Linked DNA regions of Sus scrofa. The protein of the gene in region 1 purifies or fractionates together with the protein of each later gene. This does not show direct contact. Links are inferred from orthologs where the notes say so. Each region holds a gene or a part of one and is shown on either strand. Other genes may lie near its edges. The genes, in order: TONSL, ASF1A and MCM6.

The links.
Region 2: the proteins of TONSL (region 1) and ASF1A purify together in Homo sapiens (affinity purification with mass spectrometry; 4 studies listed by BioGRID and IntAct, counting the BioPlex papers as one, with this or other methods). This does not show direct contact. The link is inferred for Sus scrofa from reciprocal best matches to the Homo sapiens genes TONSL and ASF1A.
Region 3: the proteins of TONSL (region 1) and MCM6 purify together in Homo sapiens (affinity purification with mass spectrometry; 3 studies listed by BioGRID and IntAct, with this or other methods). This does not show direct contact. The link is inferred for Sus scrofa from reciprocal best matches to the Homo sapiens genes TONSL and MCM6.

The regions. Positions count from the first base shown.
Region 1 is NC_010446.5:348,998-352,747, forward strand, and holds the start of TONSL (tonsoku-like protein), read left to right. Parts: upstream 1-994; 5' UTR 995-1,076; coding exon 1,077-1,101; intron 1,102-1,201; coding exon 1,202-1,297; intron 1,298-1,485; coding exon 1,486-1,628; intron 1,629-2,143; coding exon 2,144-2,327; intron 2,328-2,604; coding exon 2,605-2,734; intron 2,735-3,063; coding exon 3,064-3,235; intron 3,236-3,350; coding exon 3,351-3,465; intron 3,466-3,750. UniProt on the Homo sapiens protein: Component of the MMS22L-TONSL complex, a complex that promotes homologous recombination-mediated repair of double-strand breaks (DSBs) at stalled or collapsed replication forks.
Region 2 is NC_010443.5:43,204,965-43,208,614, reverse strand, and holds part of ASF1A (histone chaperone ASF1A), read left to right. Parts: intron 1-337; coding exon 338-453; intron 454-3,650. UniProt on the Homo sapiens protein: Histone chaperone that facilitates histone deposition and histone exchange and removal during nucleosome assembly and disassembly.
Region 3 is NC_010457.5:15,951,071-15,954,720, forward strand, and holds part of MCM6 (DNA replication licensing factor MCM6), read left to right. Parts: intron 1-53; coding exon 54-182; intron 183-1,770; coding exon 1,771-1,932; intron 1,933-3,650. UniProt on the Homo sapiens protein: Acts as a component of the MCM2-7 complex (MCM complex) which is the replicative helicase essential for 'once per cell cycle' DNA replication initiation and elongation in eukaryotic cells.

The DNA.
Region 1 (3,750 bases):
GAGGACCACATCACTCAGGAGCCACAGAGGAGGGCCACCTGTGGCCGACTTCTCACTTCCTGTGGCTCCTCCTTCTCTGGACCTGGCACCCATCCAACCTCCCTATTACTCCCTCAACAGCAGGCCTTGCTGCCCTTCCACTGGCAGAGAGTTTTACCCCACTGGGTTTGTTTCCATATCCACAGAAAATAAAACTGCCCATTGCCCACTTCTTCCAGGCCTCCTCTGGGGCCTTCGGGGTGCCCAGGGCCCCGTGGCAGGCCAGGGACTGAGAGCCCCAAGGTCTGGCAGGTCTTTGATTCTCAAGGTGTGGGGGAAAGGACAGGACAGGCATTCGAGTTCTGAGGCCAGGTGCCCCACGACCACAGGGGCCCCCGTGTCCTCCTGCGCTGAGAAGTCGGCTAGAGCGCTGTGGGCTTCGTTCCTGCTCCTTTTTCCCTCTCAGCACAAAACAGGTTTGCAGGCTGTACTCCCGAGTTTTCCAGGAAAACAACTGGCTGGCGTGCACATCGAGGAAGCAGCATTTTGCTCAGTTCATTTTGGAAAACAGTCCCCTTCCCTCCCCACCCCCGACCCCGGCCCTGGAGGTAGGAGCCCCACACGTGACGACTGTGGCGCGCTCGAGGCTCTTCCACGGGTTCTGTGACAGGGACACCTCTGATTACGCCAAGTACTCAAGTGCTTGCGGTCCCAGACTCCGTCCTCTTCTCCCACGCGAGGGCAGTGCGCTCCGCAGATCAAGCCGCACGGGCAGGTAAGTTTGCGGGCTGGCAGGACAGTGGCAGCAGGGGTGGGAGCCCCGGAGTTCCCACCTCGAGGGCAGCTGCGGGCTGAGGGGCGGTGCCAGGAATCTGGGGAGGCGCCCTCCATCTCGCCCCGCCCCGCGCCCCCCTTCCGGGCCAGGCGCCAGCACGACTACAGCTCCCAGGATGCCTCGGACGACTGGACTACACTTCCCAGGATGCTCCGCGGGCCGCAGGCCCGACTGGGCCTGCGCGCGGCGCCCCAGTGGGAGGGACCGCCGCCAAGGCGCGAGAACGCGGGAAGTCTGGAGCCCCTGGCGCCGCTGCCGGAATATGAGTCTAGACCGCGAGCTTCGCCGTGAGTTCCCTGCCGAGCGCCCGAGCGCAGGGGCCGGGAGCGGGCCTGGCTCTCCCGGGCAGGGGGGCTCCGCATCCAGGCCTCGTCCTTCTTTTTGCAGAGCTGAGCAAGGCCAAGGCTAAGGCGCAGAGGAGCGGGCAGCTGCGGGAGGAGGCTAATCTCTGTCACCAGCTAGGGGAGCTCCTGGCCAGCCATGGTGCGTGGGGTGGAGTCCGGGACTGAGAGGGGGGCGTCGGGAGGACCGGGGGGCCAGGGGCCGGAGGTGGGGAGGCGGCAGGGCGGGGGCCTGCTCAGTGTGCCGCCCAGGGCCGGTCGCTGCCCCACTGGCCCTCGCGGCCCGTGGCCCCCTGTCCGGCCAGACTGGAACGTGCCCCGCCCGCCCAGGCCGATACGCCGAAGCCTTGCGAGAGCACCAGCAAGAGCTGCAGCTCCTGGAGACCGCCGGCGACCCCCTGGGCTGCGCGGTGGCCCACCGCAAGATTGGGGAGCGGCTGGCGGAGATGGAGAACTTCACCGAGGCCCTGCAGGTGAGTGGAGGCCGCGTCTCCTGGGCCCGCGTTGCCCGAGGGTCCGTTTCTGAGGAGGGAGTACAGCCTCCACCGTCCAGGCCCCTGGGGAGAGGGGGACACGCTACCATTGGGCATCACCTTCAGAGAACCCTGTGCCAGGCGACGGCAGCCTGGTCTTTGGATGGGTACACCACAGCCGGGCCGCAGAAAGCCCTCGTGAACATATTTCTGGAGCTGAGTTTGTGGGCTGGTTGGAATCCTGACTTTTTCTACACAGAGCTGCCTAGTCCCTGGCTTCTGGGGCTGCAGCAGCCCCCCTAACTCCCACTCATCTCCCCGGTGATGACTCTGGCTGGTTGGAGCGGGGTGCTACCGTCCCCACAGGCAGCCCTTGGCAAAGAGATAACGGGTGTGTGTGGCATACTCTGGGGGCTTGGGGAGTGGAGAGCTCTTCTAGGCGTCCCCCTGGAGTTGGGGAAGGCGTGGGTTGCTTGAGGTGGGGCTTGGCTCACAGGGGTCATTCTGTGCCCCAGCACCAGCACCACTACCTGGACCTGGCACGTTCCCTGTCCAACCACACTGAACAACAGAGGGCCTGGGCCACCATTGGCCGCACTCACTTGGACATCTATGACCACCAGCAGACAGAGGACGCCTTGCTGCAGGCGCAGGCGGCCTTCGAGAAAAGCTTGGCTATCGTGGATGAGAAGCTTCAGGGTGACTGCCCTTGGGACCTGGCTCTCCCCACCTTCTACCTCCCGAACTCCGCGGGGAGAGGAGGCTTCAGCCCCAGCGCCTGCCTGCCCTGTGTGGCAGGACCCCCCTGAGGGGACGCCTGGCCTGTGCTCCTCCCCGCCTGGGGTCTGGCTGCCTCTGCTCTTTGTCCCTCCACACTGCAGCAGAGCCCCTGGTGCCTACGAGAGGCTGGATAGGGCCTAAGGCTGGCGAGCCCCAGCGGGCCGAGGTGCTGAGTGTCTGGAGGCATGTCTTCCAGGGACACTGGCCAAGCGGGAGCTGAGTGAGATGAGAACCCGACTCTACCTCAACCTGGGCCTCACCTTCGAGAGCCTGCGGCAGGCCGCCCTGTGCAGCGCCTACTTGAAGAAGAGCATCTTTCTTGCTGAGTAAGGCCTCACTTGACCCCTAGAGGGAGCCGAGCGCCCCGTTCCTGGAGGAAGCAGCTGCTGCCCCCTAGGCTGCTCCCAGACCCTGCTGTGAGGGGTGAGGAGCGAGGGGCAAGGGGCTGGGCTGACCTCACACCTCTGCCCCTGGCAGTTTCCTATTAGCATAGAAGCCTGGCACGTCTGTGCCTCAGGCTGGGGCCAGAGCAGGCTCTGCTTCGTGGGGGCTGGGATCCCAAATGGCATCAGAGGTTGCACATCGGCACTTCCGGTGCCCACCCTGCTGTCCCAAAGCCAAGTGCCTCAGCACGAGGGCCTGTCCCCACCCACAGGCAGAACCACCTCTACGAGGACCTCTTTCGCGCCCGCTACAACCTGGGAGCCATCCACTGGCGTCAGGGGCAGCACTCCGATGCCATGCGCTGCCTGGAGGGGGCCCGGGAGTGCGCACGCCTCCTGAAGCAGGGCTTCATGGAGAGCGAGTGCTGCGTGCTCATCTCGCAGGTGCCAGTGGTTCCCGGCAGCTCCGGGCCCAGCTCCCGGGGTGGGGTGGGGGGGGTGGGGGTGGGTGGCCGGCCTTCGGAAGCCTGCGAGCCTCCCTCCCCTTCCCCCCCCCCAGGTCCTCCAAGACCTTGGGGATTTTTTGGCTGCCAAGAGAGCCTTGAAGAAGGCCTATAGGCTTGGCTCCCAGAAGCCTTTGCAGAAGGCAGTGGTCTGCCGGACCCTCAAGTATGGTGAGCCTAAAGGGGACCCTGGGGGCTGAACCCCTCAAAGGGGGTAGGAAGTTCCCCTCCTCCTTCAGCAGAGGAGGCCTGGGCGTGTGTCTTTTGGGAGGTGACAACAGCCACATGGGGCCCCCCCACCTCGTTGGGAGGAGCTTCTCAGGGTGTCGGGGTGGGGGCGATGAGGTGGGAGTGCGGGCAGTCCGTGTGGCCTCAGGGCCTGGTAGGGGGCAGTCAGCGGGGTCCCCATGCTGCCAGTCCTTCTCTGCCCTAAGCGGTCCTTAATCAGCCTTCCCA
Region 2 (3,650 bases), on another chromosome or scaffold:
CCAATGGTCTTTACTGAAGGGTTTCTCAGACCACTTGCTCTGCCATTGTGCTTGATGAATCCTCAAGAGAAGGTGGCAGCATTTCCCAAATTTTTGGTCATTGTTGTTTTGTTCCTGAGGAGCCCAGACCAGGGACCAGTGTTTCATAAAACAGCATTCTGAGAAACTCTGGTATGAAATGTAAGCATTTTATAAGGAGCACTTCAGTGTCTTTCGATTTTCTGCTATGAGAAGCCAATTTTAACAGCTGATGTATGGTTAAGTGGACATTCAAAGGGTCTTTGATGTCATCTTGTAATTACTGAATATGAAATAATGTTTTGGTTTTTAACCCTAGACCTGGAATGGAAAATTATCTATGTGGGTTCTGCAGAAAGTGAAGAATACGATCAAGTTTTAGACTCTGTTTTAGTGGGCCCTGTTCCTGCAGGAAGGCATATGTTTGTATTTCAGGTAAGATTATTCTTGGTAAATATGTAAGTTAAAATACATTTCTAAATGGTCCTTAACCCTCTCCTTTTGGGTTAAATCACTGGCTCTGCTGCATTCACTTTTTATCTGCTTCTGTCATTGTTTTAAGAAGTCTCTAGGTCATAAGGAATGCCACCTCCTTATTTTGTGTGCCGAGAGATGTTATTGTCATGTTTACTTCAGGGTTTGCACAGCATGCAGTAAACCTTACACTGTGTCATGGCACACATGATGGTTAATTTCGGGCTCTTCCTGGGAATATCTACCTTGAGGGTGGCTGTCCAGCGGCCCCAAACAGGGATTCCAAATGCTTACTACTAACTAGTATAGGTAGTAATTTACACTTTCAAATTATAGTATCAGTCACTAGGAATAATAACAAAACAACAGTTTATTACAGCATAATCAGTAGTTCAGTTAGGTTAACAGGTATGTTAGAAGAGAGAGATCTACGAGATCATGGGTCATTGGAACTAAATGAAGTCCAGTGGTCTACTAAAGCATCAAATCTACACCTCTTATAGAGAATTCCTGTTACAAATACACAACTCTGTCATTCATGAGGAGAAATTCTACTAATACAATTGTGTTCTCAGATGCCACTGATAGTATTTAGGTCTGTGCCAAGGCTTCAGACATTGTCTTCTGTATTCAAAAATATTACTTCTTTTAATCCATGGCAAATTGTTGTATAAAACTATTCCGTCACTTCTCCATTATCCCTGTTTATTAGGAGATATTTATAATAGTCCAAAGAGTAACTAGCCATAGCTTTTTAAAAAACTTAATTTTGTTACAAGTATTTCTACCCAACAGAGTTCTATCGGTTAAAGTAGAGCTCACTGAGAAGACTCACAGAAAGAAAATCTAACTTTTCTATCCTTGACCTCTCACTTTTCTCACTTCACAGGTGAGATCTGTTTAAATGAATACTGTTGATCACATAATCCCACCAGCTATGGGCTAAGAATCACTCAAATATATGGTATCATTACAGCTGCTGCCCCTCCCTCCCATCTCCTCAATATAGAATTCAGAACCTTGGTCTCCCATCCTTAGTGCTTTTTATTAAATCTAAATAAATGATTAAGAAAAGCTTAAACATTACTAAAAGGCTCCAATATATTAACTAAAAGCATAGTTAGCCTGAGTTGTGAGAGTGAATAATCTTGGTGAAGGACGGGTTATCAGAGGATGCCTGTTGGGTGGGGGGAAGCACTGCAGTCGTAGACCTGAGTCACATCTCACTCTGCTGCTTGTTAGCCATGTGTGACTTTAGACAGGCTCCAACCTCCCTTGTTCTCTCCACTCATTTATAAAATGTGAATAGCATCCTACCTCATAACAGTGTTCGGAGGATTAAAAGAGGAACCCGGCAGATAAGTATAATCACTGATAGACAGTGCCCTATTTCGATAATTAGAACCAAGGTTTTTTTAAATTCTTTTAGCTGCTGCTGCTTCTTTTTTTTTTTTTTTTTTTTGGTCTTTTTTGTCTTTTTGTCCTTTTAGGGCCACACCCGTGGCATATGGAGGTTCCCAGGCTAGGGGTCTAACTGGAGCTACAGTTGCCGGCCTACGCCAGAGCCACAGCAATGCCAGATCCAAGCTGCGTCTGCAACCTGCACCACAGCTCACAGCAACACCAGATCCCTAACCCACTGAGCAAGGCCAGGGATTGAACGTGCAACCTCAAATTTCCTAGTTGGATTCATTCCATGACAGGAACTCCCTTTTAGCGTCCTGAAATTGTTATATAAAGAAGTAGTATTTGCTTTGACCCACAAGCCTGGAGAACCTGTAATTCACAGGTAGTAATTCATGATGTAAGAAACTTAATTGGGGATGTAGTGATATACCTTTTGATGCTGCTAGAAGTGTTGCAAATAAATGCCATGTTTTTGAAAAAGCCCTTAAAGAATCTCTTCTATGTGTTTAAGGATACTCCTCAGCTTTTGCCTTGGAGTGTTGTAGGAAAAATATTATTCAAAATTATTTCCCTCTGGTGATTTTCCAGTGATTTTTTTTACCTTGGTATCTGTGCAGATGTTGCCAAAAGTACAGAGGAAGTTGTGTGTGATTTAGATCATATGTTCAGCTTATGCATTTTTTAAAATTCACCATTATCAGCAGAAAGGGACTAAAATAGTTTTTGTTTCATGTTTTTAAACAAACTACCATAGTATTCTCCTATTCTTCCATGACTTTAACTCTCAGGATGAACATGCGTTTCTCCTGAGTGTGTAAAGAGGCTAGCAGGAAGGTGCCTGGACATCTAACTAGTATTGCTTGTTGGAGTGAAAAATCTCTGCTTATCACTTCTCCATCCTAAATGATCTGAGACGTCTGCAAATTCTCTCCTTGAATTTGCTCAAGCTGCATCCTTTAGCAAACAAATTTTAAAACACAAACAAGCCTCGGACGAGTTTGTTGAGCAGATGGGAAGCAATATGGGGGGAAAGTTCCCACCGTACTGAACTAACTCTATTTCCCATCTCTACCCAAAGACAGATAGCATATTCTCAGGACAGGCCCTCTGTCCCCATTCTGGTATCTCTCCAGAGGTCATAAACCATGTCAGGGTAGGAACTGAGTTCTGAATGAATTTCAGAATACAAATACTCTGTCCCTAGAGCTATGCCAGACTTGTGATTACAAAGATGAACTGGATAGGACTCCTGCCCAGGATAAAGCCTAGAATCTCAGAGAAGATTGAAGGGTAACATATTTAGATTGTTAGACATACATTAGTAGAGAATTTGTGTCAAGTAATATGAGTGCATAAAGAGTGCTATTAATTATACCTTTGAATTAGAAAGGGTTTTGCCGAGAGGCATATATTTGATGAAAGCTTCAGAAGATGAATTTTTCAGAATGTTAGGAAAGGACCTTTCAGGCCAAGGGAACAGTATATGCTAGACAGGAAAGACTATCACTACATTTTAAAGAACCTACATTTCTAGAAGAAGAGATGTGGCGTAAAAGGGGTGTGGTATTGGTTGGAGACCAGTTGTAAAGGGCCTTAGAAGCGTTAAAGAAGTGAAATTTTTATCTCAGAATCTGAGGTTTTAAAACCTGGTGAAGGGATAGGAATGGATCTGGGTTTAGATGGCTGCTGTATAAATTGGCTAGAGCTGGGGGAGAGCAGTAGGGAAGCTTTGGTAATATTCCAGATAAGAG
Region 3 (3,650 bases), on another chromosome or scaffold:
CTGAAGTGTTTATTGTTATAACTAATCAAAGTGATTTTCTGATTTCGAATTAGGTCACAGATTATGCCATTGCCAGGCGAATAGTAGACTTGCATTCAAGAATTGAGGATTCAATTGATCGTGTCTATTCCCTTGATGATATCAGGAGGTATCTTCTTTTTGCAAGACAGTTTAAACCCAAGGTAACCTGCCTTTTTGAATTGTAATCAGGCATTATGAGTATGTGAAAGTTACATTTAAACAAAAGCATCACCTGGAAATTAACTGAACTTGACTTGTTCGGGTGTTTTTTTTAAAGTTATTTGTTTTTTTTCGTTTGATCTTGAGGGCTTTTTTTTGAGAACAGTTTTCTTCAGTGAGAGCTGAGAAAAGGGAATTTTTTAAAAGTGAAAAATTAACATTTCTTTTACTTGTTAGATGCCAGTAAAAAGATTTTTGTAAGTGAATGAACATGAATAACTATCTTACAGTAATTGATGTAGTTTATTGGATTCTGTGCTGGATCCAGAGTATTGAGTTGGACATTTGTTTCTGAAATAAACCTCTATAATGCCTTTTTTTTTTTTTTTTTTTAAGCATTTTGCTAAAGTAGAATCAAAAACTTTGATTCTCATTGAGGTTTTTACACTATTTCTGGCTTGACTTTTGGGAGTTATCCTTAGATTTTAATTCTCCAGCTCCTTCGCTTGGTTATCTAAAATAATCAGGATTGACTCTCATGTCCCAAGAGAAGCATCACTTTAATTTGCAGAGGCATTTGTTCTCCATCACTGTATGCTGGTCCTTCTGTTACCTTGGTCTGCTTCCTTAACATGCTTACTTCCTAGCTCTGAAAAACTTAGGATTCTTTAGTATGCCTCACTTTGTTATTCAGTAGATACTAAGCTTTATCAAAATATCTGGTGTGTATATATATATATAGCAGTTCCCTCATATCCACAGGGGATATATTTCAAGACCCTTAGTGGATGCCTTTGACCACAGATAGTACCAAATCCTATATATACTATTTTTTTCTTACACATACATGCCTGTGATAAAGCTTAATTTATAAATTAGGCACAATAAGAGAGTAACTGAATAGCTAACATCACTATTCTTGCACTTTGGGGCTTTTATTAAGTAAAATAAGGGTTACTTGAGCACAAACCCTTTGTTACTGTAACAGTTGATCTGGTAACCAAGATGGGTACTAAGTGACTAATAGGCAAGTAGTATATACAGCATGGATATACTGGAAAAAGAGATGATTCACACCCTGGGTGGGACATTGGGTGACATAAGATTTCACTATACTACTCAGAACAGTGCACAATTTAAAACATATAAATTGTTTATTTCTGGGATTTTCTATGTAATCTTTTCAAACTGCAGTTGATCATGAGTAACAGAAAATGGAGCTACAGATAAAGTGGGACTACTATTAATTATTGACTCCTCTTTTTCCCAAAAACTGCATAAGTTAATTAGCTGCTCAAGAATAGCCTGAATGGTAGCTTCTTTAATGAGCTTTGGCATCTTAGGTATACATGTCCTTTAGAAATGGTCATTTGCTTAAATACTAACTCTGCTGTCTCCCTGTTCATAAAATTAGTATATGGAATTCACAGTCCTAAGTATCAGTTTCTTTTAAAAGACATTTCAGTATTAATTCCTTGTCATTGGTTTCAAAGCTTTGACCCTCTCAGTTCCCCCAGAATATCTCCACCTGGGAAGCTCTTAAACTTATGTTTAAGTAAAAATGCTGACTTCATTGATGTTCTGACACAGATTTCTAAAGAGTCAGAGGACTTCATAGTGGAACAGTATAAACGCCTTCGCCAGAGGGATGGTTCTGGAGTAACCAAGTCTTCATGGAGGATTACAGTGCGACAGCTCGAGAGCATGATCCGTCTTTCTGAAGCAATGGCTCGGATGCACTGCTGTGATGAGGTATCAAAATCACTTCAACATAATAGAGAAATCATTTGTTGACTTATGTAAGCCAGCTTTGGTGTAGGACATACTAGCATTAGCTGCAGATTTTTTTTTTCCTTTTATTTATTTTTTTTATTTTATTTATTTATTTTTGTCTTTTGTTGTTGTTGTTGCTATTTCTTGGGCCGCTCCCGCGGCATATGGAGGTTCCCAGGCTAGGGGTTGAATCGGAGCTGTAGCCACCGGCCTACGCCAGAGCCACAGCAACGCAGGATCCGAGCCGCGTCTGCAACCTACACCACAGCTCACGGCAACGCCGGATCGTTAACCCACTGAGCAAGGGCAGGGACCGAACCTGCAACGTCATGGTTCCTAGTCGGATTCGTTAACCACTGCGCCACGATGGGAACTCCCAGATTTTTTTTTTTAATGTGACTGTTGATTGCTCATATGATACGTGACTGTGGGATTTTTCCCTTGTAGAAGGTTGCTGTCAAGCATTTAATGAATTTAATAGTTAGATTAATAGTAATGAAATGATCATAATGTAGATTATAGATAAATATATAGTAGTGAGTTCAAGATTAATGCCATTCGTTTGAGAGAAACTTGTTTAAACCCTACAACGCGCCAGGCCTCTGGACTGGGGATACAGGTAGAATGACGTAGCCCACATTCTCCTAAGGAGAGTTGTCTTCCTTAGGTTTGTATAATGTGTGGATATTAAATTGTTCTTCGAGCCCTGGGTTGTACAGTGGATATTTAGAGGAGTAAACAGGGAGCAGAGTGGAAGAACATTCATGCCCTCATTTCTGCTTCGAGCAAACCAGCTTACTTTTATCTAGCTTTATATTTTTGACAGTGTTAGATTTTGTTTGAGGAAAGAGTTTGGCTATTTTTCTTAATAGTACGATTGATGTATAATTCACATAGAGGAAAATGTACAGGTTTGACTTTTTACATACACCCTTGGGGCCACCCAACTCAGAATATAGAACATTTACATCATTCTAGAAAGTTTGCACCCTTCCCCAGAAGTAACCACCGTTCTGACTTCATTAACCATTTCTATTCCATAGGTTTTATTTTTTGGCTTTTTTTTCCTTTTTGTTTAATTTTTCTTTCTTTTTTTTTTTTGTTTATTTTTTCTAATTCTCTGATAATGGTGCTTTACTAATTATAAAATACTTTCGCCCTATGTGACTTATTATCAAGTCAAGAGTCAAAGATTATCTTTCGATTCTTCTGACATTTAATGGACATTTAATGAATAAACGAGCTCCTGTCTTCCATTACTGATAATTTGGTGAGAGCAAGACATGTTTAATTAGGCATATTAAATATGAGTGGGAGACTGAGCTATTACCAGCAAAGAGTACAGAGATTAGTGAATTTTTTCCCAAAGAAGGAGTATCTGGGGAGATACCACATTCAAACATGATCACTGAAAAGTATATAGAATTTTTTTTTTTAATTTTTAGAGCCATACCTGTGGCATATAGGAGGTTCCCAGGCTAGGGGTCCAGTCAGATCTATAGCTGCCAACCACAGCCATAGCCACTACCATGGTGGCATCAGATCTGAGCTGTGTCTACGGCCTATACCACAGCTCATGGCAACCTCTGATCCTTAACCCACTGAGTGGGGCCAGGGATCGAACCTGCAACCTCATGGTTCCTAGTCGGATTCTTTTCCACTGCACCATGACAGAAACTCCGAAAAGTGCATAGAAT